Linked DNA regions of Lepisosteus oculatus. The protein of the gene in region 1 interacts with the protein of each later gene in a pairwise test. Links are inferred from orthologs where the notes say so. Each region holds a gene or a part of one and is shown on either strand. Other genes may lie near its edges.

Region 1 (7,350 bases):
TGGAGAGCTGCGGATAGCTGTGCGAGGAGCTCATAGCCATTTGGTTTTTCGCGCCGTTCCTCTCCAACGAGAGCTGCAGCAGCCTCTCGCTGAGAGACCGGACGTGCCCCCGCTTGAGGTCTCTCAGACCATCGTCCTGCAGGACGTCGTCCAGCATCACAGCGCAGGCATCCCCCTGGCCCCTCTGGGACGCCAGGTACTGCGACTGGGCCTTGGCCTCTTCGTAGGTGGGCAGCTCCTCTCCGTGGAGCTGGTAGAGCTGGTGCAGGGAGCTCTCCGAGTGGTGGCAGTCCCCCTGGTGCTCCTGCCCCTGGGGCTCCTGGCGCGCCGACAGCTGGAGAAACTGGGACTCCTCCTGGTTCAGGCTCTCCGCGGAGGAGCGGGGGCTCCCGGAGCCCGCCCCCCGCAGGGCCTGCTGCTGGATGGCCAGCAGAGCGCGCGTGTCCGTGAGGTTCCCGTAGCGCAGCTGCTCCTGGATCAGCCGGTGCAGGACCGTGCTGGACGAGTCTTCCGCCGTCCGCATCGTGGATGCTGGCTTGGCGAGGCGAGTTAGGGCCGGGGACGAATCGGAGAAGTAGCCTCAGGTCTGGGAGGAAAAGCAAAAGGACAAATCTATGAAAAAGAAGCCTTTGGGCCTTACTAAATAAAACATTGCAAGATATTCAATTATCCCTTGGTATATCCAACAAATTTTGTAGTAGAAAAAAAAATTGGAAGAGCGTAGCTGGGCCTAGCTGTAACCAAAATATTTTAGTTACAGACTAGATGAGATTTCTATAGAATGGTTGATAAGTATGATTTAATATGAAATAACATCAATACCAATAATAAAGATAGTAAAGCTAGAGGGACCTTTATTCTGAGTAATTTGTTAGCTTGGCTAGAGGCCAGCTATAATTTGAGGCACATATGTTTCAACAGAAAGGCATGTGTCCCTTGAAATGCAATAAACATCGGGTTCCAATTTTGGGTTTTCTGTATCTTATTTTGTAAAGGTATGCACATTGCGCTCATTCTCCCCCCAGATGATTTTAGATCAGGGAAATAAGGAGAGCCAGCTGCAAAACTAAGCCAAGCAGTGCTTTGTGAAACTGTGGAATCTCTTTCCCTTGGCCACATGGACCCCCGATACAAAAACAGGGCACATACCAGTCATGTCTCTGTGGCTCTGCGGCTCTGCGTGGTCTGCCTCTCAGAGAGCATCGCCATAGCAACAGCACGTTTGCACCTCAATATCACTGAAATAGCCCTCTAGCACCCAGCCAGCTTTATGCGTATTCCGTGGCCAGGCAAAATGTTTTTAAAAAACTCCCCAAGACCTGTTTTATCCCAGTATTCACGTACACTATACTCGGGAAACGTATCCTCCTCACCTTTCTACTGAAACGAAGGTGTCGATAATTACTAGAATTGCGTACTTGAAAGGAGAAGGTAACTTGTTTGACATTTCAGAAGGCAAGAAAGCCCCACTGGTAAAAGCTCTCTAGAAGTGGGAAACAACCTTTCACGTGGAGATCTTTCCCTTCAAGGCTCCACCAGCCAATTCTAGTTTAAACAATTTATTTGGGATTTCCAGCTCATTACATTAAAATACATATATAGTTAACATATCAATACAGAGATTTGAAATACTAAAGCACTTTGACAAAGGAGGCAGTTGTTAAAGAGGAAGTCTTGGCACTGGTCTGTCCATTACACAGCTTCCTGCGGCAGGCGCCGCTCTGTTTCTACATAACTTACTGTGCTGCTGTAATGTGCGAACTATACGACTTGATAAAATCCGAAGTCTGGAAAACGAACACGACAAAAGAAGAAGGAAAGGGGCAGTGTAGTCGCCAGTCACATCTGTACGTTTAGACAAAATACCAGAAAGACTCCTAATATTTCCAGCGCTTGCATATTTTGTTCTTTCGAAAACACGCGTTTTTTATTCAATTTCACAGCGTGAGGCACTGTACTGAACGCAATTATGGTAAATCTAATTCGCCTTTACACCCGCAGTGTTTATGGAAAAAAAAATCCCCACTTTTATTGTCTGTAAAACATCCCATGCCGAACGAACAAGTGTTTTACTCCTGAGAATGCAAAGGGTTTATTTCACTGAGACTTCAAAGTGAGTCTAATCGGGTAAAGGACCGACCCAGCAAACATCCAGATGAGCTCCGAACCTTCCCCGGATTCACGTCTCGAATCTCAAATCGCTAAATATTAAACATGAACCGACACAATAGTCTCCGCATTTAGTTTTGGGAGACAATACTGATGGTACAGTCTTTATGGCCCTCATAGATGGATTTATTGCAATATAACATGTATGCCAATCTTCCCATGCCTTTGGATACTTTAGGTTAGCTATTCGCATCAAATACGAGACTAAAATCACTCAAATAAGTTCTTCTTGCTTAAATAATAACGTTCGATTTAAAATCGATACACAGAAACGCTATACATAAGTTAAAATCTAAAAATGAGTTTTACCACTGAACAAAAATTAGAGAAGATCGCAAGTGACCGGTGAAATAAGAGAAAGACGATAAAAATAAAACTCACCCTTTCACAGTTCCATTAAATGCATAGCAGAAGGGAGACGCGTGTAGATTCTGTTCATTAAATTCCGGATTATTGAAAGTAATCCTGTATCTGTTCATTGAAAGTAAGTTCAGATACGTGCGTGTTCGCCCATGTGTATGTATTCCACTGTTAATAAGTGTAGTTACGCTCTGTGGATTTGCCTGGCGTAGACTGAGCCAGTTTAAGAGCTCAGTGCGCTAATAAATAACTGAGGGCTGATTGTTCACAGAGGCTGGAATGATCGGAATGCGAGAGCTCCAGGTTCCTCTGGGATCAAAAGCAATAACAGACTACAGCAGCTCGTTGAAGCTGCCAACCCCCCCATACAAACAGCTCGAACAATGAGCCCCGATTCATTCGTTTGTGTCGTTAAAAGTGGTGTTAGTGCTGCTTCGGTTTTTGAGATATTAGAAGTTCTTCTGAGGGGAGTGATGTCACTCCTACACCAGCAGCATCATGGTTGAACTGAAAGTCGACGAGCAGAACCTGAGACCGCAGTGGAACTGGGAAAGCACAGTTCGCAGAATAGCGCCAAGCCCTGAGATGAACATTTGTCGAAATACTATAATAATCACTGAGACATCAACCCAAATGAGCAATATTTTATTTATGAACTCGTTATTTTAAAGGAGCCTTTGGTACTGTTTAATTTTTATAGTGTTGCTGCGAACAGAACACTATAGCAAAACAGTGACAGTGGATTAAATTGTTTTGTTTTAGTAGATGGTAAGAGCTATTAATTTCTTTCTGTGTCTGCTGAGGGATGGGAGATCTTCTCCTTTTGAAATCATGAGGTGGATTATCTGTTCTTGACGTGTGCATGTATGAATTAATGGTAAAGATAAAACTGTTTCGAATCTATTAAACCATGGACAGAGATGCGTCTTCTCATCATTTGAAAAAAAAATCAGGTGAAAGTTAACACAGTGCACATATTTTCTGAAAATAATAGCTAGACTTAATATTCGCGACTGTGTTAATAGTTTTAAAAGGTGAAGAGCGGGTTAAAGAACAAATGAATCTTAAAAGGTTAAAAAAGACAGAAAATCCTTAGATAAAAAAACTGATGTTTATTAAGTTATTTAGTGCTCCCCTAATACATAACTATAGAACAGTACTTGGCTATTGAAGTATACTGTATGTCCATCCTGGTACTGCACAAATATGTACTGAGTTGACTATTTTAAAACACGTCAGCAAAACAACACAGTTAATGCTATGAACGCTTGGATGTAGACTTTAATATTTCAACAGTCCTGAACAAAAATACTAACAAACCTTTCATAAGTCTATTTTAATTTTGTTGACTAAACAAATTTTGGAAACAGTAACTTCCACATTTTCTTTTAAATACATCTTTTGTTTTCAATAGTTGTTTTTTTTATGAAGCTGTTGTTTATGAAAATGTGGACACTTAGTTGTTAAATGTTTTCATTATTAACTATAAAGCTAAAATAAAGCTCATATTTGTGTGTACTTTATATGCATGTGTATCTACATTATTTTTAACACAATTTGCACCGCTATTATGAAGATCCTTAGAGCTTGCAAATCACTGAATTCTTAAATTATGTAGAATGAAGATTCATCGCAGACCTGTTACCTTTCTGTTCACACTCATCACATGAAACATTTGAGAAACACATATGTAGTACATACAGATTTAAAGACATTAATTATTGGGTTATATTGGGTCAACAGAAATAAATAATGGGATTGCACAAAGATGCACAATTTATCATTACAATTCACCCCCATTTCAAGGATTATATTACGCTTAAGTCAAAAGGTGCTAATTTTAGACACACATTTCAGCAGACTCTCCGCGTTCTTTTTCAGAACCCAAAGGAGCATAAACGCTGGTTTCAACTGCACCAACGAATTATTTAGGAATCCCTGTTTGTCCAGATCTGTGGTGGGGCGACTTCATTGACACTCCAACACTTTAAATTTAGTTTTAATTAAAAACATGTTTTAACGGCACAATCGTAGATCAAACGATCGAATTAGGAGGCATTGTGTATGATGTTTAAGGCAGAGGGCAGCTTTGCCGCGATCCACAGCGCTAAATCGTGCCACAGAGGCAGAAAACATCTGCAGTTCCCACTAAACCCCTCTAGTGGGCGTGCAGATAATACAGCGCGCGTTATCTCTCTCTTGCACGTTTCCCAAATCCTTAAAAATAAACTTCTAGGTAATCCATAAAAATAAAATAAAACACTATTGGTGAGCTACTAGATTAAATATGTTGAACATGATACCAATACTCAACTGAGTTATTCCATTACAGAAAAAATGATCAATCTTACCTGGTTTGGTTAGTTATTTGGTTACTATTTACGTCTGAAATGGTACAGGATGTGTTTGTTTACAATATTGTGGGGCATACATTAAAACTTGAGCTTTTCTGAGAATCAGTCTGTACCAGAACGGGTAAAACTTAAATATTCCCTGATAGCAATGTAGCTGGTGTAATTGCCCAACTCTTCACCTCCTTTGTTAGCAAGATGAGGAAGGAGCGCAGGTGAAGGTTAACTGATCATGTTTAAACTTGTTTTTATTTGATAAAACACTTTTATTATCTTTTTTAACAAAAAATGACTCTCGAAATAAAAAAACTTTTTTTTTAATCGTACACACAATGAACAGAGGCAATGGATTTGTGAGAATTACGTTTTCATCATTCGCCCATAACGTCTCTAAAGTTGCCCGAAGGCTTTTGCTGTACACGGTTTCTTTGTGCGCCGTCTTTGAAAAACGTGTAAAGCGGTCAGAGAAAACGATTCAAATGCATACTCTACACAGCCTAGGTGTTGTGAAATGTAAAGGCGAAGAGTCGCAACAATTTTGGAGTGTTCAACTTCAATAAAGAAATTCAGCAGTAGGAGCTGTAAATGACCCACACACGAAACATTGTGTGAATTTTTTTTTTATTTCTGTAAAAGGCCCGTGTGCTCCCAGGTGTCTTTTAAATATTTAACTAATGCACAATGCCAATGGCCGTGAAGTATGTGCAAGAAGAGGGTGATGTGGGGGAGGCTGCCTGCCAGCTGTCTTCGGAATAAAATCCTCTCAATAATCAGAACTGTGAGAGATTCATTGTCCCCAATCCACACCAGACATTGTAAACGAGGGTTACCATCTGCTACGTCGCTGTCACAGCCTCCTCCCCATACCCTATATGAATGTACACGAAATTGCAATCATCTGGCTTAAGAAGACGCGGAGGGGGGGACAAAAGGAATTTTTTATTGGAAAAGCTGTCATAGTAAAGCTTTGAATTATTATTTATTATATGTGTTTTTATTTCCACAAATATCTCTCAAGACGGATAAAAAATACATACTGTATAGTAAATAAATGAGATATGTTTCCAACTTCAAAGAGAATTGTTATTCAAATCGCGGCACAGCGCAATACCAAGCAGACTGATCTACATGTGTATTTCACAGTGCGTTAGTCAGAGAAGGGAATCTGCTTCATGAATCCCTGAACCGCTTTGGGCTGCTCGGCTGGACATGTCCCGCAGAACACGGTGACCCGGCCCAGCGCGACCGCGGCTCCCTCTGCGCCCTGGCCTTCCCTAAAATACGATCTATCATTTCCCAAATTGTTTTAGAGCAAGTAATTGGTAAAAAGTGTTCAGACTTCTGCAATTTCATTATGTAGTTTAAAGTAGAAAGAAAGAAAATCTAGTCAAACAAATGCTTTAATTTATTAATTGATTTTTTTTCAGGCAGATTCTCCGCAGAGTATTTTTCAGTCGACACTTAAAAGTCATTTTATTTTCAATTCAAGGGCTTCTAGATGCCTTTCACTGATGAACAGGTGTTGCCTGAAGATGGACTTTACTTAACCTTACCAATAGTAGGTCCTTTGTCTCCTCCGACCTGATCCTGATGTCTGGTCTTTAAATTAAAGGAGCCATAGTTGAACTGAAAATAACTTTCTGACATCAGCCTTAGTGACAGGTTGCTATTTTCTTTTTAGTTAAACCTAAAGGAGGTTTTGAACGTCAGCGCACGCTGCTTCTGCGCCATGAACAATGTCCTCCACTGTCTGCTTGCTGAAAACACGTAACAGTCCTTCAACGTAGGCACTTTGACATTTAAATTACACTATGAATAATATGGTAACATGGCAATTATCCCAGACCTCCTGATTTTGGGCTTATAACACTTTAGCACCTGCTCAGGAGACCAGAAATAATCCATTATTAGAAGGGTACTTATCCATTTTCGGCCTTGAGAACAACATTGCTTTTTCCAGAACAATAGGGGTTCAGGATGAGACCAAAAGGACTCAACTGAACAGCACACCAGTACATTATAGGGCACTGGGGAAAAGTCTGCATGTCTTCAGGGAGCTGAGAGGAAACCAGAGTACTCAGAGGAAGACCGCACAAGGAAGGGAAATACATGTGAGAGCTGTGAGGCAGCAAGTTTAACAGACATGCAGCTATTTCACCTAGAACAGGAATAATGCCAAATTAAAACAAACGCGTTCAGGTTAAAGCAACGTCAGTTACCTTTTCTCGACAATGATCTCATTATCAGCGTTGATGATCACAAATAAGATCACTCAATGATCTACATCTATTTCTGGAGCTCTTTGTAATTAAGTAGAAAATCATTGCAGCCAACTAAATAATGTTTACAGTAAACTATCTTTTTTTAACCCTATTTCAGCTTACTTACAAGGAAGAATACTGAAGACCAAAAATAATTTGCTTTTATACGTTAGATTCAAAGCTTGTCCTTTCACAAGCAAGGAAAGGTC
Region 2 (7,429 bases), on another chromosome or scaffold:
TATTTTATTCATAAATACAATTCATTTAATGACTCGACACACCTATGAATGAACAATATGATCAGGTTTTGGACATAACTGTAAGTGATTCCTGGACTCAATGTTCTAGTTAAATATGTCTTCACTTAAAAAATGAAAATAAACCCTCGGGAATAATGGATAAAGTAAAGACGCATCAGAGATACATTGGGCTACTTAACCAATATACATAAAATAGGTAGAGATAAAAAAAGGTGAGATTTTTAAAAAGTCGTCAAGATAAAGTAAAATAAAAAACACGGGAAAAACAATATAAAACGTTTTATATAAAACATAGAAAGCAGCCACAGTTAAATCCCTCATAAAAAGATTGAAATAACCGCATAAAGGTAACAATAACACATCCAAGTATTAAAAATGAAAACAGTACAAAAGTTACCCACTTTGGGCAGTAAAACGTTTCCATTGTTAGCTCAGGCATTTTTTCCAAACAGTTTGAAGCTGTACTCTGCCAGTTTTGGAAAATCTGGCACGCCTTACTTGAACTCTGCACTATTGCTCAAATGCAAATTGTTATGCAACTGCCTCAGCAACTCTCACTACGGCTAGCCTCTCGGATTCGAATTATGTCACTCGTTTATCGGAGTATCCCGATTACACAATTACTTTACCTCTTTGTAAACTAAAAATAAATAAAGCCAAGCTCACGCATAAACAGACAAACGGCTCGACACACTTGCACTGATAAAAATAGTTTAAAAGCTCCCCCGGCGTTAACTCTAAAAATAGGTAAGGGCGAAAAGAAGTTAAGTATCCGTCGGGATAGCATCTGTGGGACGTTTAAATACTGAACAACATTTGGATTCATGTCGGAAATTATAAGGCTGAATTACACAGATGACCTTCAGGTGACAGTTGCTGATCGGATTGTATCTTAATTGTCTGTGGTTAAAAGAAATTTCATCGTACGGATTAGGGCGGGCTGCCTGACTGGATTCCCGGACTGTTAAGCAATATTATAATATGTGCTGTTGTGCTAAATGTTCATTGCAACACTGTACATGTAGACGTACAGTACGTGACTAAGGCACCATTGGAGCTCGTAGGACTCGCTGCTTTCACGCCAGCCAGTCGTGTTTATTAGCGCACCAGGAACAAAGGAATGCACCCTGCCATCCATACACGTGTATGCAGCCGATAGGGGAAAAAAACGGGAATTAAAGCACATATAAAAGATGTCAGGTTTCGTGAGCTAGACGTAAAACACGTGCTTTTAATATTAATATTTCAGACCATTCTCCTCTCAGACTAAAAATCTTTTCAGAGCTTGGAGTATTCAAGCCCAGATTCGTATTTTTTTTTAAAAGTTGCTGAGATTATTTTGTATGCGCACAGGAAAAAATATGTATTTCTCTGGTTTGCCTTTTTTAGATGTTAGCGTACGCAAAGCCACACTCCAGCTCCCCTTTTATGGACAACGGTCTAGCCAGACCTGCGTAAGAATGCGAAACACCAACGCCCCTTGACATCCCACTAGCTATGCGCCACACACACAAAAAAAAGATACTATCACAACACAAAAGTGTAACTTAACTATTCTACTATTACATAAGAGAGCAAACATTGCTAGCTCAAAGACGAGTTTACCGGTTAACCCGTTTCTGGCGTGCGTTGCACCTCGTTTAAAGAAGTGCTCGGAACATGGCCTCATGGTTGTTTTGTTCAATTCAGGTTTAAGATTGGCATTTTCAAATGCTTGCCTCACTTATCTGACTCGGTAATTCAAACAAGACTCAAGATTTCCGAAATCGAGAAGAAATAACTTAAAACCTCTGCGCCGGCAGGTTTAACAACAACTCACCCCTTGTAAGTTTTGTGATTTTGTTTCCAGTAAGAGAAAGCGTATCTTTAGTCAAACAATCCTCAATGCCTACATTCGCATGGGTGAATTAAACATTGTTCACGTCTATGTCCCAGATTCCTTTATTGTCAGGATTACAAAATCGCGTAATCAGCTCCCCTATTCTTTCCACCAGCTGCCAGCAAATTCTGTGGCTGCATTATGCAACATTTCCAGGAACGATCCTGTCGTACGTCCTCAGAACAACCGTGACTGATAATATTGATGAAATACGCAATGACGAAGGAATGTTATGTATTTCATTTAATTAAACGGGCACGCGTACGAATCAAATCCATCAATTCCGGCTAAATTAGCCCAAAGTGTTTAATTATGAATTATTTCCCCTCAGGGTCTCTTTTACTATTACTTGGGAAGTAAACCTATGCTTAAGCCCATAATGTACATGTGAGTAAATAAAAATCTCCATTCATAACTGGTTTTAAGTGAGAAACTTGGTAAACTCACCAGTCCGCGTTCGTGTATGCATTCATAGGTCTCAGACAATACATTCACTCCTAACTGGTCATTGATCGTATAAATTAAGAACCACAAAGCAACAATGGCAGGATCATGACTTTTATCACATCAACGTCTCTATACAGAACAGCGCACATGATTAATTTTCTGGGTCACTATGCCATGGTTACAACGGTGATGTTTACACAACCTGAAAATCATGCCACAGCCAGGACCTCGTTCCCCACAGACACTGAAAAGTCATCAAAGCTTATGAATTAAAACCCAGAGACGGAATTCGCAACAGTGGATCCTTAGACTGTATTATTATACGGCAAATATATATTACGTTCAAAAAAGACTACGTGCCACTCTGGTACACTGCAATGTAACTATTTACCTTAAGGTGGCGATTATCCCATTGAATAAATCCTCAAAAACTAAGTATCTGTAGGTTTTCAATAAACAAGTAATGGTTTACCTTTTCAATCGAACACGACCTAAATGTCAAAGATGCGGCGTCCTGTGACATCGTAGTTTAAAATACACGTCGGTACCAAGAAAAAAAACAAGTTAAGTTTCCTTGGTGGTCAAAATCCAATTGCATTGAAGTAAAACCTCTCTCTCCCTAGCTTTCCAGTCCTGGAGTGTCTGCTCCACAGATCTGTGTTAGTAGGTCAGTCAAGAAACGTATTGGCAACACAGCGTGTTATTGACACTTAAAACAGCCAATCCGAGAAAGGCATTATCTGATTTCACCCAATGATGACCTACCCGAGCTGCGAAACCAGTCTCTGGTACACAAGAGTGTATCTTCTGCACCGAATTTGCACCTATTGCATAACAAGCTAGAGAGCAACGGAGTTATATGTATAATGTGACTACTGTATGTAGTAAGAGAAAGATGTTTCGCCCGGTAGGATTACCAATGGGGTGTGACGGGGTCTTATTTGAAGGATTTTTTCAGATGAGTTCTGAGGACACTAAAATAACTAGTTGGAAGTTTCAAAAGCGTAGAAATGCAGACGGGGATCATGCGCTCAAAACGGGACTGTAAACATAACATTTCACTGTAGAAGGTCTGTCTTTATTTTCTTTCTACAGTACTTGAATGTGTTTTTAAAAATCCTCTTGGTAACGACAGTGCAAAAACACATTCAATTTATCTACCCATGTGTCCGCAGCAAAGAGAGAGAAAAAGATGCATACTTTTTCACAAGGTTTTGTAACATCCCAGACTAATGAGGGTGACACTGAGTAGAAGTTAAGGCTCTGTACTCTAGGGCTTAAGGTTCCACAACACAATGGATACTATTGTTATATCCTTGGAAAAGGTAGCTATCCCGATATTGTTCCAGTCCTAAATATGACTCTGCATTGCCCTGTGATAGACTAGTGTTTTATTCAGAGAGATCAACGTATTCTCAAGTTCACGTCACACAACAGAAAACTGTTCAGACCTGACGAGGCATAAAGCTTGAGTACAACCTTCACATTTATCTGCTGGACTTCAGTGTTAAATCTTCTCCCGTATTTGCTTTTTGCATGTGTGTTACGGAGGTGAACAAATACATTCAAGTAGCCAACATTATTTCAGTTTCAAAACCTGGCAGTAATTTTGTTTTTGTTTTCCAATCTTTGGCATTTACAAAAGCAAATACAAACAAATGTATTTCCTAATACGGGAATACAGTAAGCTATTGCAAAAGTACAGTATTTTGTAAAAAATGTTAGAACTTTAGAGGAATACATTATCTAGGATTTACAGTGAAGGGGATGGTGTATATGTTTGAAATTAACTTTTTTAACTCTACACTTTCAGAATAAACTGACTTGAAATCTACTTTATTATAGTAAAGTTATTTAATAGAATTCCTGTATAGTTAGATATACTGTAGGTAACTCTGGAGTAAATTCACATTCTAATTGATGTGTTCACAAAGACAGTGTGAGTGCTTACAGCTCTGGATCCATTCATTACTATTGGGTTGTGGTTTATGGGTTCAATGTTGTAGCGCTTTGCTGTTGTATATTTTTAAACTGGAGATCGATTAGACTGATTGCTGCAGTCCACCAGTATGTACCAATGGATACCTGTACTGCTGGAGATGTTCACCTGTAGTGGACTAGCAATTGGAGATTATTCTCAGTTTGCTTAAAGACTGTCTTGTGACGGCCTTAACATTACACAGAAAATGCAGTCTTTTCCTCAGTAATGTGAAAACATTTCAGCAAATGGAAATAACATTACACTATAACTAGTATATGGCGGTAACAAACAATACGTTTTTGCAATCTTTAGTTATTAAGTATTGATATATGGATTACTCCACAATAATGAGTACTCAAAGGGTTTTTCTTTCAGGGTTTGGATAAACAAGCATCGGAGAGGGCTAAACAAGGAAGTTCTCCTTTCTTTTGAGAACTTTTTAACCATTTCATAAAGATGATTTTACTAGTTGAGTGGCCTAAACATATTCCTGTCTCACCTCACACCCCTTGGGTCCAGTGTTCAATTCATGTTCTTTTCTTTTGTGATTCTAAATTAAACTGTAGGGCTGCAGTATATAAAATGACAGTCATCAGGATTATGAAGATAAAACTCTCTGCCACACTGAAATCTGCAGCCTAAATAGCAGAGATATAAAGTTTGACACAATGTTGGGCACAAAACAGAGCACAGAGCATGTCAGTGCTTAGTAGCTTGGACTTGTGCGCCGGGTAAGAGCTGATGCAGATGCATGTGCAAAACAATGATGTGATGTGAGATATATACTGTATATACCACAAATACAGAAGCACAGTAGCAAAACTGAAAAAAATCACATTGAGTTGCTCTCTTTATTATAAAAAGATCAGAATGTAACTCAGTAGACAAACCAAACAATCCAGGAACCAGTGTGAGGAGACCTGATACTTATCTCTTAGGCAAAACAAAACCCAGCCCCCTTTAAGCAAACCAAAACCAGTTTCTAAACAAACATTTAAGTCTGAAATAACACAGCAACTCAGAGCTGTTGAGTACTTACTACCCACCAGCATTTTTGGAACTATTTGAACTAAAAGAGGAGACATTTAACTTATTGCCTAAATTGAATTAGCCATGTGTGTAGGAAGTGAACTTGTTAACTTAAATGGAATTTCCCTCACACATTCACATGGCTGCCAACAACAAACTATGAAGTCATTAACTGAGCAGCCTCCCTGTCACAAGAGTGCATCATTACTTAATTCATAGGACAATATGCTTAAAATCTTAGCTACAAGATAAATCTAACACACGCTGAAAATTAATAGTTATGTCTATCAAGCAAACACAGACTCGTTTATGTAACACTTGGATTTCTACAATACAATAAACGGTTCATGAAAAGGTGCAGTCAACAAGCTTAGACAAGCTATACTGAGTATTCATTATTCACAAACATTGTGTAATTTATTTTTCCAAAGTTAGGTAAAGTAAATATTACTAATCCAGGACTCCAGGACTGTGTAACATGTTAAAACTATAAACTCCCTCGTACTCATCCATTTTCAGTTCATCTGGCATTTGAATATGATGCTAATTAACAGCATTTGAAATGATCTTATCTTAAAATAACACCATGTGTACCTTGACTGCAACTTCACTTTGTTAAAATATGTGCTTTCAATGCTTGTAATTCACTAACCAAAGTGTGAACAGTCTTTGTGTTAAATGTTCTTTCAGAATGTTGCAGTGGTAAAATCAATACATATTTAGTGGAATTAAGTGATATGTGAAAGCTCACGCATAAAACAGCATCATAAAAAGGTAGTGACGTTTATGCGTAGGAGTAATCTCTTGGTCCTCTGTGTTTCAAACAAAACTTTGATCTAGAGTAGACTATCCACCTTTAAAATATACAGATAAACATTTCTGCTATTAAAATACATTTTCTTTTCTGATTTAAATAGGCAAAAATCTGTGTTATGGGCAGCACAGTGAAGCAGTGGTTAGCATTGCCGCCTCACAGCGCTGAAGCCCTGGGTTCAATTACCATGCTGCTGTCTGGGTGTTCCGATTTCGTCCCACAGTGCAGAGACATACTGATAGGTTAATTGGTTCCTGGGAAAATTATTCCGGTTGTGAGTATGAATGTGTTTTGTGGCTTTGTGTCCTGGGCCAGACCTGTGATGGACTGGTGCCCCATCTAGGCTGTATTCCACCTTGGACCCATTGTTTTGTGGATAGGCTCTGGCTCCCCTGCTTCCTGTTCATGGAACGGAATCTATAATATTAATGCTAACATATGGTCTTGGAAGCACAGGTCACATACAGGCATTCAGTTGTAAAAGCTACGACTTGTTCATTTTGTTTTTGGTTTACCTTCAACTCAATGTAATGTGTAATGGAAAGCCTGTTTACCACTGTTTACGTTTGAAAATGTATTTCTCAGTGTTCTTTAGGTTTGAGCTCCCAATGCTTTCAGCAGTTTTTCAATATGTACTGCGCAATATTCACATTTTTAGTTTGTTATAGTGTGTTTTCTCTGAAGTGACGTTTGTGTGGTTATATGACATTCATGGCATTTCCTTTAAATTGTTATTGTTACCTTTCACTTTGAAACACCTGAAGTTAAGACTGCCACGAGGAAATATGTACGATATAATTACAGGTTTATTTTTTTTTCCTTGTCACTAAACAAAAGATTGAAAAAAAGATTTTTTCTCTCTAGCCTTTTTTAAACAAAATTGTCCCTTATCCATAAATGTTGGTTGTAGTGTAGTATAGTTTTAGAACTATATTTTGTGTATTTCCTGAATTTTTCCAAAGCCATAACTATTAGCAGTTGTGTATCAGCTATGATGTGAACCTTTATACTGGTTTGATAGACACATTCAGACTATGACTTGTTGGAACGGAGCCAGTCAGATCATACAGTATAGCAGACATACTGCCCTGTGAATAAGAGCTGCTCGGTGAATGTCATTATTGTGTGGGTAATGATGTAACGTTATGTCAAAGGTTTGATTTCCTCTCTTGCTTCATAGTTGCCTTCTGGTATCATTTTTAAATGTACATACAGTCTTGCAACTTAACTTAAGATCCTTCCTAAGGATCCTTCCTAT
Region 3 (6,986 bases), on another chromosome or scaffold:
GTCCTTTCTCACAGCCACAGCTGCCTCCCTGCTTCCACAGGCTCCAGCACAGCGCAGGACAGAGACACAGCAGCGTCCCGGCCTGGCGGCAGGCAGCCGCCGTCTCACGGCGCCCAAGGCGTCCGAAACTCCTGACTTAAGAAACACAGCGAAGGATATCGGAGACGACAATGGGCTTCTTCTTCTTGTCAGGGCTGAAGGGATCTTTCTTCTTGTTCTTCCTCGACTGCAGTTCATCGTTCCAGAGCTCTGCAACCATACAACCGAAAGGCTGTTTTTGTCCAACTGCCTGTTACTGTTTATCGAATTACTACAGGAGCTGACACAAAGCATCTGAGATCCAACTCAAACTACTATTTACAAATGCAGAAAACAAGTGGTAAACGTTCTGTGGAATTAACAGCCTTACAATTATAAAAGAGTGCATGCTGAAACCATGTTGAACCTTGAGTCACCCATAACTAATGACAGTTCTAGGCTCATTCCAGTCCCAACCCCTAGAATTCACCGTAATCCTGCAAATATATACGTATGTTTTAGTAACAGTACTGGACATGGGCAAAGACTTGGGGGCGTTACCCCACCACTAACTCATCCTGTCCCTACCCTTGCCTTTAACCAAATCTGTACCCTAAAATATGCCCACGTCCAGCAGAATTTACAACAGATGATACAAGCCCGAGGTTGCAATAAAATGCAATTGTGTTCGCTCCACTTCCAATACTCTGCCAAGCGGCACGGGGACTGGCGGGGAGGGGCCGGAGCCCGTGGCAGGCTGGGGCTGGCGTCGGTGGTGCTCCCAGCCCGCCTGGGTCAGACGTACCCGAGGTGATGTCAATACTGTGGCGGTCCTCTTCCAGGCGCCGGATCTTCTCTTCCAGCTCGTTCTGCACCGTGTCGAACAGGAGCAGCTTTTCGCTCTGAGCGAGGGAGGCAAGGAAAAAAAAACTGACTCGTCAGTCGAGTAGCCACGCCTCCCGACAGGTAAAACTCAGCTCGGGGAAAAAAAAAATCGCCATAACATAACATTCGTTTTCATTAAAACAGCCACTTAGTTACACAACTTCAGCGAGTACAGGGACTGGGTTCCTCACCTCCCAGTGCTGAAATGCCGCTTGGATCTCACAGTCATATTTGTTCTTCACCGATTCCAGACACAGCTCTCTGTAAATCCCTGGAGATGGGAGAGGAAAAGCAGTTTACAGCCTCCAGCTTAGACACCCTCCTGGAACGATCTTCCCTCTTTAGACCTTGATGGGTAGTTTGTGGGCCAACATTGCCCCGAGAGACATGGCATTCCACTCAAAAGAAAAAAACCCAGTGTATTTCTAAAAAAAAACGCTTGAATGCTCTCCGTGAGTGCAGGTTTGGAGAACAGAACAGGGCAGGGTTATAACACACAGCTGTCCTCCACAGCCCTGGAGTCAGGACTCACACACACCTGCCACCTTCGTCCTGATCTGCATATTCTCCTGCAGAGTGGCCAGGGGCTCCAGGTACTCTGGTGCCTTTCCTGCTATGACTTCTTGCAGTTTGGCATCCACCTGGCTGAGCCTTTCCTTATACAGCCTAAACAGAAGGGAGACAAAAGGAAATGAGCATCTTCCTACCCATTCAGCTTGTCTTCCACAGATCCTGCGGCTTCCTGAAAACTCCCCCCTTCAGAGAGTGGCAGCGTCCCTTACTCGAGTTTAAAAGTGGTAAAGTGGGTATTGAAGGCAAGACATTTTAGCGCCTCGTTCATTAAAAGCGCAACGCCGATCTCCTTACTGGTCTTTGAGGTCCGTGAACTGTTTCTCCAGGTTGGTCATTTCGTCTAAGCACTCCATTCTCCTCCGCTCGCAGTCTTCATCGTCCATCTCTGCTCCGTGCACGAAAAGAGACACACAGAAACAAGTAAGTCCGGCTTCACGCACAAGGCGAATCTCCCAACCATTACAGCCACAGTATCGCTCTACATATTGGCAGGAGCTACAGATCTGGGGAGGGAACGGGTGGTCATTGCGCTCCAAAGCACTTTGCAAAAACTAAAACACGTGGAGCTAGCAGGTCGGAGATTTCCGAAGCCGTCACAAACTAACTCCCGAGCAGTAACGGCGCACCGGGCGGCGTGACAGCTCCGGTCCTGCAGATGCGCTCGCGTGTGTCCAGCGGCTACAGATGCGCCCCCCCATGATTAACACTTCGGGTCCCCGGGCGGCGGCACGAGAAGCTCGGGGCGAACCGGGGGAGACCCCCTCCGACCGCAGAGAAGCAAAGCAAGACCGGCGCTAAAACCCCTGGGTCCGCAGCTGAAAACAGAAACCCCCTCGGCACCGCTCCAGCAGAGGCGAGTGTCTCTGTGCTCCCCGGGGTGAGCCATGCTATCGATCGGTACAGGCGGACCGGACGTGATCGACGTGGCTCAGGCAACATTTCTCGGGAGCTGAAGCGATCGGCGGCCACCCCACCTGAACTGTCTCCATCTTCAGACACGGACGAGCTGTCGGTGTCCTCCTCGTCCGAAGTGCTCCCCTCTTGCTCCGGGTAGTCCACCTCCATTTCTTCGTGGTTGCTTTCCTTTTTGTCCCGCGAATGCACCGGCATCGCCCCTTCGGTGTACCCTAAATACCGGCTGGCAAAACCCGCAAAAACTCACCGGTCCCCCTGTTTGCAAAAAAATAAACAGACGCAAAAATGCCAGTGACTGACAACAGCCTGGCGAATTTCAGATTTTGAGCTGCAAATACGGACTCTAACAATGGCCAATCACACACAACTGGAGAAATAGACCTCTCGATTCGACCAACCCACTCCAAAAAGGGATACGTTTAATGTAAGACAAGGATGGTTGACTGGCGCGTTTTTGTTGTTTTTTTTCTTGTTTTTCCTTTGGTTTTCTGGGACTTGTAGTCTTATGAGCCATGTGATTAGGTTGAAGGCGGCGGGACAAGGGAGGGGTTGAACTACATTTTCCAAAAGTCTGTTTTTCACTTTGCAAACGCCACGGCCCACTTCCGGGGTTGATGTGACATAACCGCATTCAAGAGCATGACGATTTCCCCTGTTCGGTTATCCCCGGAATACTTCGGGTAATTCCGATTTGATGTGGGCGGTGCCAGCCCAGACATTATTTATCGAGTTAACAGCAAGTGATTTCTTAGCACCTCAAGTCAAGCAGTGCGCTTGGTACGACTCAACAATCCACAAACCAAAAGGAAACTCAAGCTCCACAGCATAACATTCTGCTGCTTTAACATCTTAAACGAAATTTTTAGAGAGCAGTTCATTCTGCCTCAGAGTGGGCCTCCCAAATGTGTATTTGTAAGGGTTTAAAATAAACAAAGACATTTACTGTACTGTAAAAGGGAGATCTTTTTCCCCAAGGTTGCTATTATGCTTTTGATTTTATCGCAATGTTTACCGTTTTGTATCTGGGTACTGTACAGTGAAATGCTATTGAGAAAGAGAATTTCATTCTGTGAAAGATGACTGACTGGTGTTGTACACTGTATGTATGTTAATGCTGTATGTTAATTCCTTACACCTATATAGCGCTTTTCTGCACACTCCACTAAAAGCGCTTTACAGGTAATGGGGATCCCCTCCATCACCACCAGTGTGCAGCCCCACCTGGATGATGTGCCAGAACGCTCCCCACACACCAGCTCTCAGTGGGGAGGAGAGCAGAGTGATGAAGCCAGTTCAGAGATGGGGATTATTTGGAGGCCATGATTGGTAAGGGCCAATGGCAAATTTGGCCAGGACACTGGAGTTACACCCTTACCTTTTTGAGAAACACCCTGGGATTTTTAATGACCACAGAGAGTCAGGACCTCGGTTTTGGATCTCATCTGAAGGAACGCGCCTTTTTCACTATACTGGGGAATCAGGACACACATAGACCGCAGGGTGAGCGCCCCCTGCTGGCCCCACTGACACTTCTTCCAGCAGCCTCAGCTTTCCCAGGAGTCTCCCCTCCAGGTACTGGCCAGGCTCACACCTGCTGAGCTCCAGTGGGTTGCAGGGTGATATGGCTGCTGGACATCTTATGTATCTTAGTGTTCAGTGTGCAGTTTAACAAAAACATGTATTTTTTCAGTCACACAGGGGATATTCCATGTCCTCTTGGTTGTGGTTTCTGGGTGCAATATGCTGGCTAATAAGGAACCCGAGCCTCCAAACAAACCCCGTCTCCGAAAGGATCAAAACAAATGGGTGTGAGAAACGTGACTCTGGGCTCTTGGCCAGGCTGGCACAGCGGCGCCGTGTGAGCAATCCCACCACACGAGTGGGTTCGATTCGGGCTTCGAGCCCCTGTGGCCGGTGACGGACCGGTGACCTGTCCAAGGTGTGGTCCCAGTGTAGAAATACACCATCAGGACGGAGGGTGTGCATTGAATGTCTTTCGAAAGAAAAAAAAACAGGTCTGAAAGTATAGCCAATACGATTTCTTTCCTCGCGATCGTATTATCTTGCTCTGCTGTCGATTTCTCAGCCTCACCACAGGAGTGTGGTTGTGGTACAAAAGGCCAGGCAGCAGGGTTTGGGAAGCTTTTACAAAAATGGGACCCAGCAGTACCTCTCCGCACAGATTCCCAGCGAGCTGTAGTCCGAGAGCCGGCGCCTCACGCAGTTCCAATGTAATATACGGAAACTTCCTTTCACCACGAAAGCAAGGGAAATACCAGACGTCCACTGTAAAATTCGGTTGTGCCACATAAACCAGGACTGCCTCACGCTTGCTTGAACTAGACATTATAATTGATTGACGATCAGGCTGTTAATACTGAGGTGTACGTTAAATCTTTGTCGCCACGATCCGCACAAACGTATTTAAAAGTACTCGAAGCAAGATAGTTTTATTCAGTGTAGTAACGTATTAAACACATTTTAAAAACATAGACAATTCTGTGGTGTTCACATTGTTTTCTCTTCCACAAGGATGCGTTGGAAAGCACTCGGAATAGACGGGCTTCGCGGCCCTGCAGCTCCGTACCGGCGCAGAAATGCCCCCCCGCCCCCGGGTATCCTCTTCTTCGCAGAACAGGGTGTTTCAGGCGCCCCGAAACTAGACAAAAGAAAAAAAATACGGTCGCCAAAATGAAATCGGCGGATGCTGAAGAGCAGTGAACGAGAAACGCACAGCGTGGCGAGGTTTCCATGACAACTGGCACCTCCGCTCTTGCCAATGACCCCCCCAAAAAAACAAAACAAAAACAAATCCAAGTCTTATACTGACGCGCTTTGCCTCTCGCCTCGTCTCTAAAGAGATGGGCGGCTGTCCTGCTCCGAGAACAGCGTGCTCTCGAAGCACGTTTGACCCGAGATGTAGTTCGAGTCGGTGGGGTTGGATTGCTCTGACTTCCATTGAGTTGTTTTTCCTCCTGAGCGCTCCGCCATGTTTGGAGACATTAGTGCTGTTTGGGGCGAGAGGTGTGTTGCTCTCTGAGGAGGGAAGGACCGCTTCCGATGACATTTTTGTTTCCCCTGCAAAATGCACACCTACCCTGTGCGTTTTATTTATTTATTGACTTTTTATAGCCCGCGGAGGCATGTGAATTCGTGTCCTTTTAAACGTTAACGGACCCCAGACCTCCTCTTTTTTTTAAAAAAAAAAACAAAAACATACACGAAGATTTCCTAGGGGCTGGCTCCTTCCACCGGACTTTCCCTGTCTGCTTTCGGGATGTTTTCTAAAAAACCGCATGGGGACGTCAAAAAATCCACACAGAAGGTGCTGGACCCCAAGAAAGACGTCCTGACCCGCCTGAAGCACCTGCGGGTTGTGATAGGTGAGTCTGCTGCAGGTCTGCGGACATGCCGTCTGTGGGACAGCGGGGCAGGGGGATAACCCCTGTCCCCCCGAAAGCATGGCCGGGGGTCTCTGGAACCGCAGCCGGCGAGCCCTGGGCTATTCCCGCAGGGCCTGTGAGTGAGCCAGCCTGCCCCTCGCCCGTCGGCTTATCGGTCCCCGTGGGCTACAAGTCGGGCTGTGTCGATTCGGCGGCTCCCCCGAGCGTGTTCATTTGTTTTTGTTGTGTCGGGCTGAAGGAGAAATGTTTGCGAGTGTGTTTTCCCCCTTTTTCCGGGGGTGGGGTTGTGTGATACGCTGTCCTCCCCGGGTGAGAGTGCTGTGATTCGCAGAGCACCCCCGGAGTGCGGAGTGGAGATGGCAGGGCGTCCGGCTCCCGTCTCCGGAGGGCTGGTCGCTTGTACCTGCTGGCCGGGGTGTCCCGGGCTGGGAATACAGCGTGTGACCTCACCCCTCTTATAATGGGCTTGACCCGAGGGCTGCCTTCACTGTGTTTTATATGCCCTGTGCATAGTTTATCATGGGAGAAAACAATTCGCTGCTTTGCCATTTCTGTTGTATAGAAGTTACAACATATTTTGGGATAAAAAACAAAACAAATTAGGCATACTGTTTGTATTAGTTCAGGTGTGGAGCTGCGTCAGCATGCGTAGGCTACAAAGGAACGAGTAATAGGATTATTCCATGCTGAAAAGAGAAGAAAGAAAACACAGTATCACACACTGTATGATAAGTCAGTGGGCAACAATGAAGGGTACAGTATGTAGGCAGACCTTGATGTAGTATTCTCCAAGCTTCTCCAAAACGCACAAAACAATTCCTCCGTCTGGTGGAAATTCATTGTTTATTAATGGTCATGCCAAGCGTGTGTGTCCCTAAGAGCAGATTCTGCTTCACAGGCCAAATAAGAAACCCAGTGGCAAGTAACTCCGGACAGCTGGATGAGTTCAATGGTTGTTTCCTGAGCACCGAGCTGCACGCTGTCTGCCATGACAGTTAACAGTGGGGGAATGGACACGAGTGTCTTTGTGATCAGACAGTTGGCGCACCTGCAGCACTTGAGCCGCTGCACTTCCTATGAACAGCAGTCTCCTGAAGGGTTTTCTTTGTCAAGAAAGTCAGATGAAAGAGAATAGCAGGCCTCCTCTGTCAGACAGACTGAAAGCTCAGGTAGCAACTTCAAAGACCTCCT

The links.
Region 2: the proteins of amotl2a (region 1) and nfil3 interact in binary tests that used the Homo sapiens proteins (3 or more experiments, as listed by UniProt). The two-hybrid records come from large-scale screens. The link is inferred for Lepisosteus oculatus from reciprocal best matches to the Homo sapiens genes AMOTL2 and NFIL3.
Region 3: the proteins of amotl2a (region 1) and brms1la interact in binary tests that used the Homo sapiens proteins (3 or more experiments, as listed by UniProt). The two-hybrid records come from large-scale screens. The link is inferred for Lepisosteus oculatus from reciprocal best matches to the Homo sapiens genes AMOTL2 and BRMS1L.

The regions. Positions count from the first base shown.
Region 1 is NC_090708.1:10,078,037-10,085,386, reverse strand, and holds the start of amotl2a (angiomotin-like 2a), read right to left. Parts: upstream 3,006-7,350; 5' UTR 2,551-3,005; intron 587-2,550; 5' UTR 524-586; coding exon 1-523. UniProt on the Homo sapiens protein: Regulates the translocation of phosphorylated SRC to peripheral cell-matrix adhesion sites. Required for proper architecture of actin filaments.
Region 2 is NC_090698.1:49,937,483-49,944,911, forward strand, and holds the start of nfil3 (nuclear factor interleukin-3-regulated protein), read right to left. Parts: upstream 3,018-7,429; 5' UTR 2,820-3,017; intron 2,150-2,819; exon of another isoform or gene 1,841-2,149; intron 1-1,840.
Region 3 is NC_090703.1:3,197,347-3,204,332, forward strand, and holds the start of brms1la (breast cancer metastasis-suppressor 1-like protein-A), read right to left. Parts: upstream 3,018-6,986; 5' UTR 2,587-3,017; coding exon 2,451-2,586; intron 1,862-2,450; coding exon 1,771-1,861; intron 1,570-1,770; coding exon 1,442-1,569; intron 1,175-1,441; coding exon 1,095-1,174; intron 921-1,094; coding exon 824-920; intron 250-823; coding exon 160-249; intron 1-159. Other genes in the region: ralgapa1 (ral GTPase-activating protein subunit alpha-1), read left to right, coding at 5,669-5,774. UniProt on the Homo sapiens protein: Involved in the histone deacetylase (HDAC1)-dependent transcriptional repression activity. When overexpressed in lung cancer cell line that lacks p53/TP53 expression, inhibits cell growth.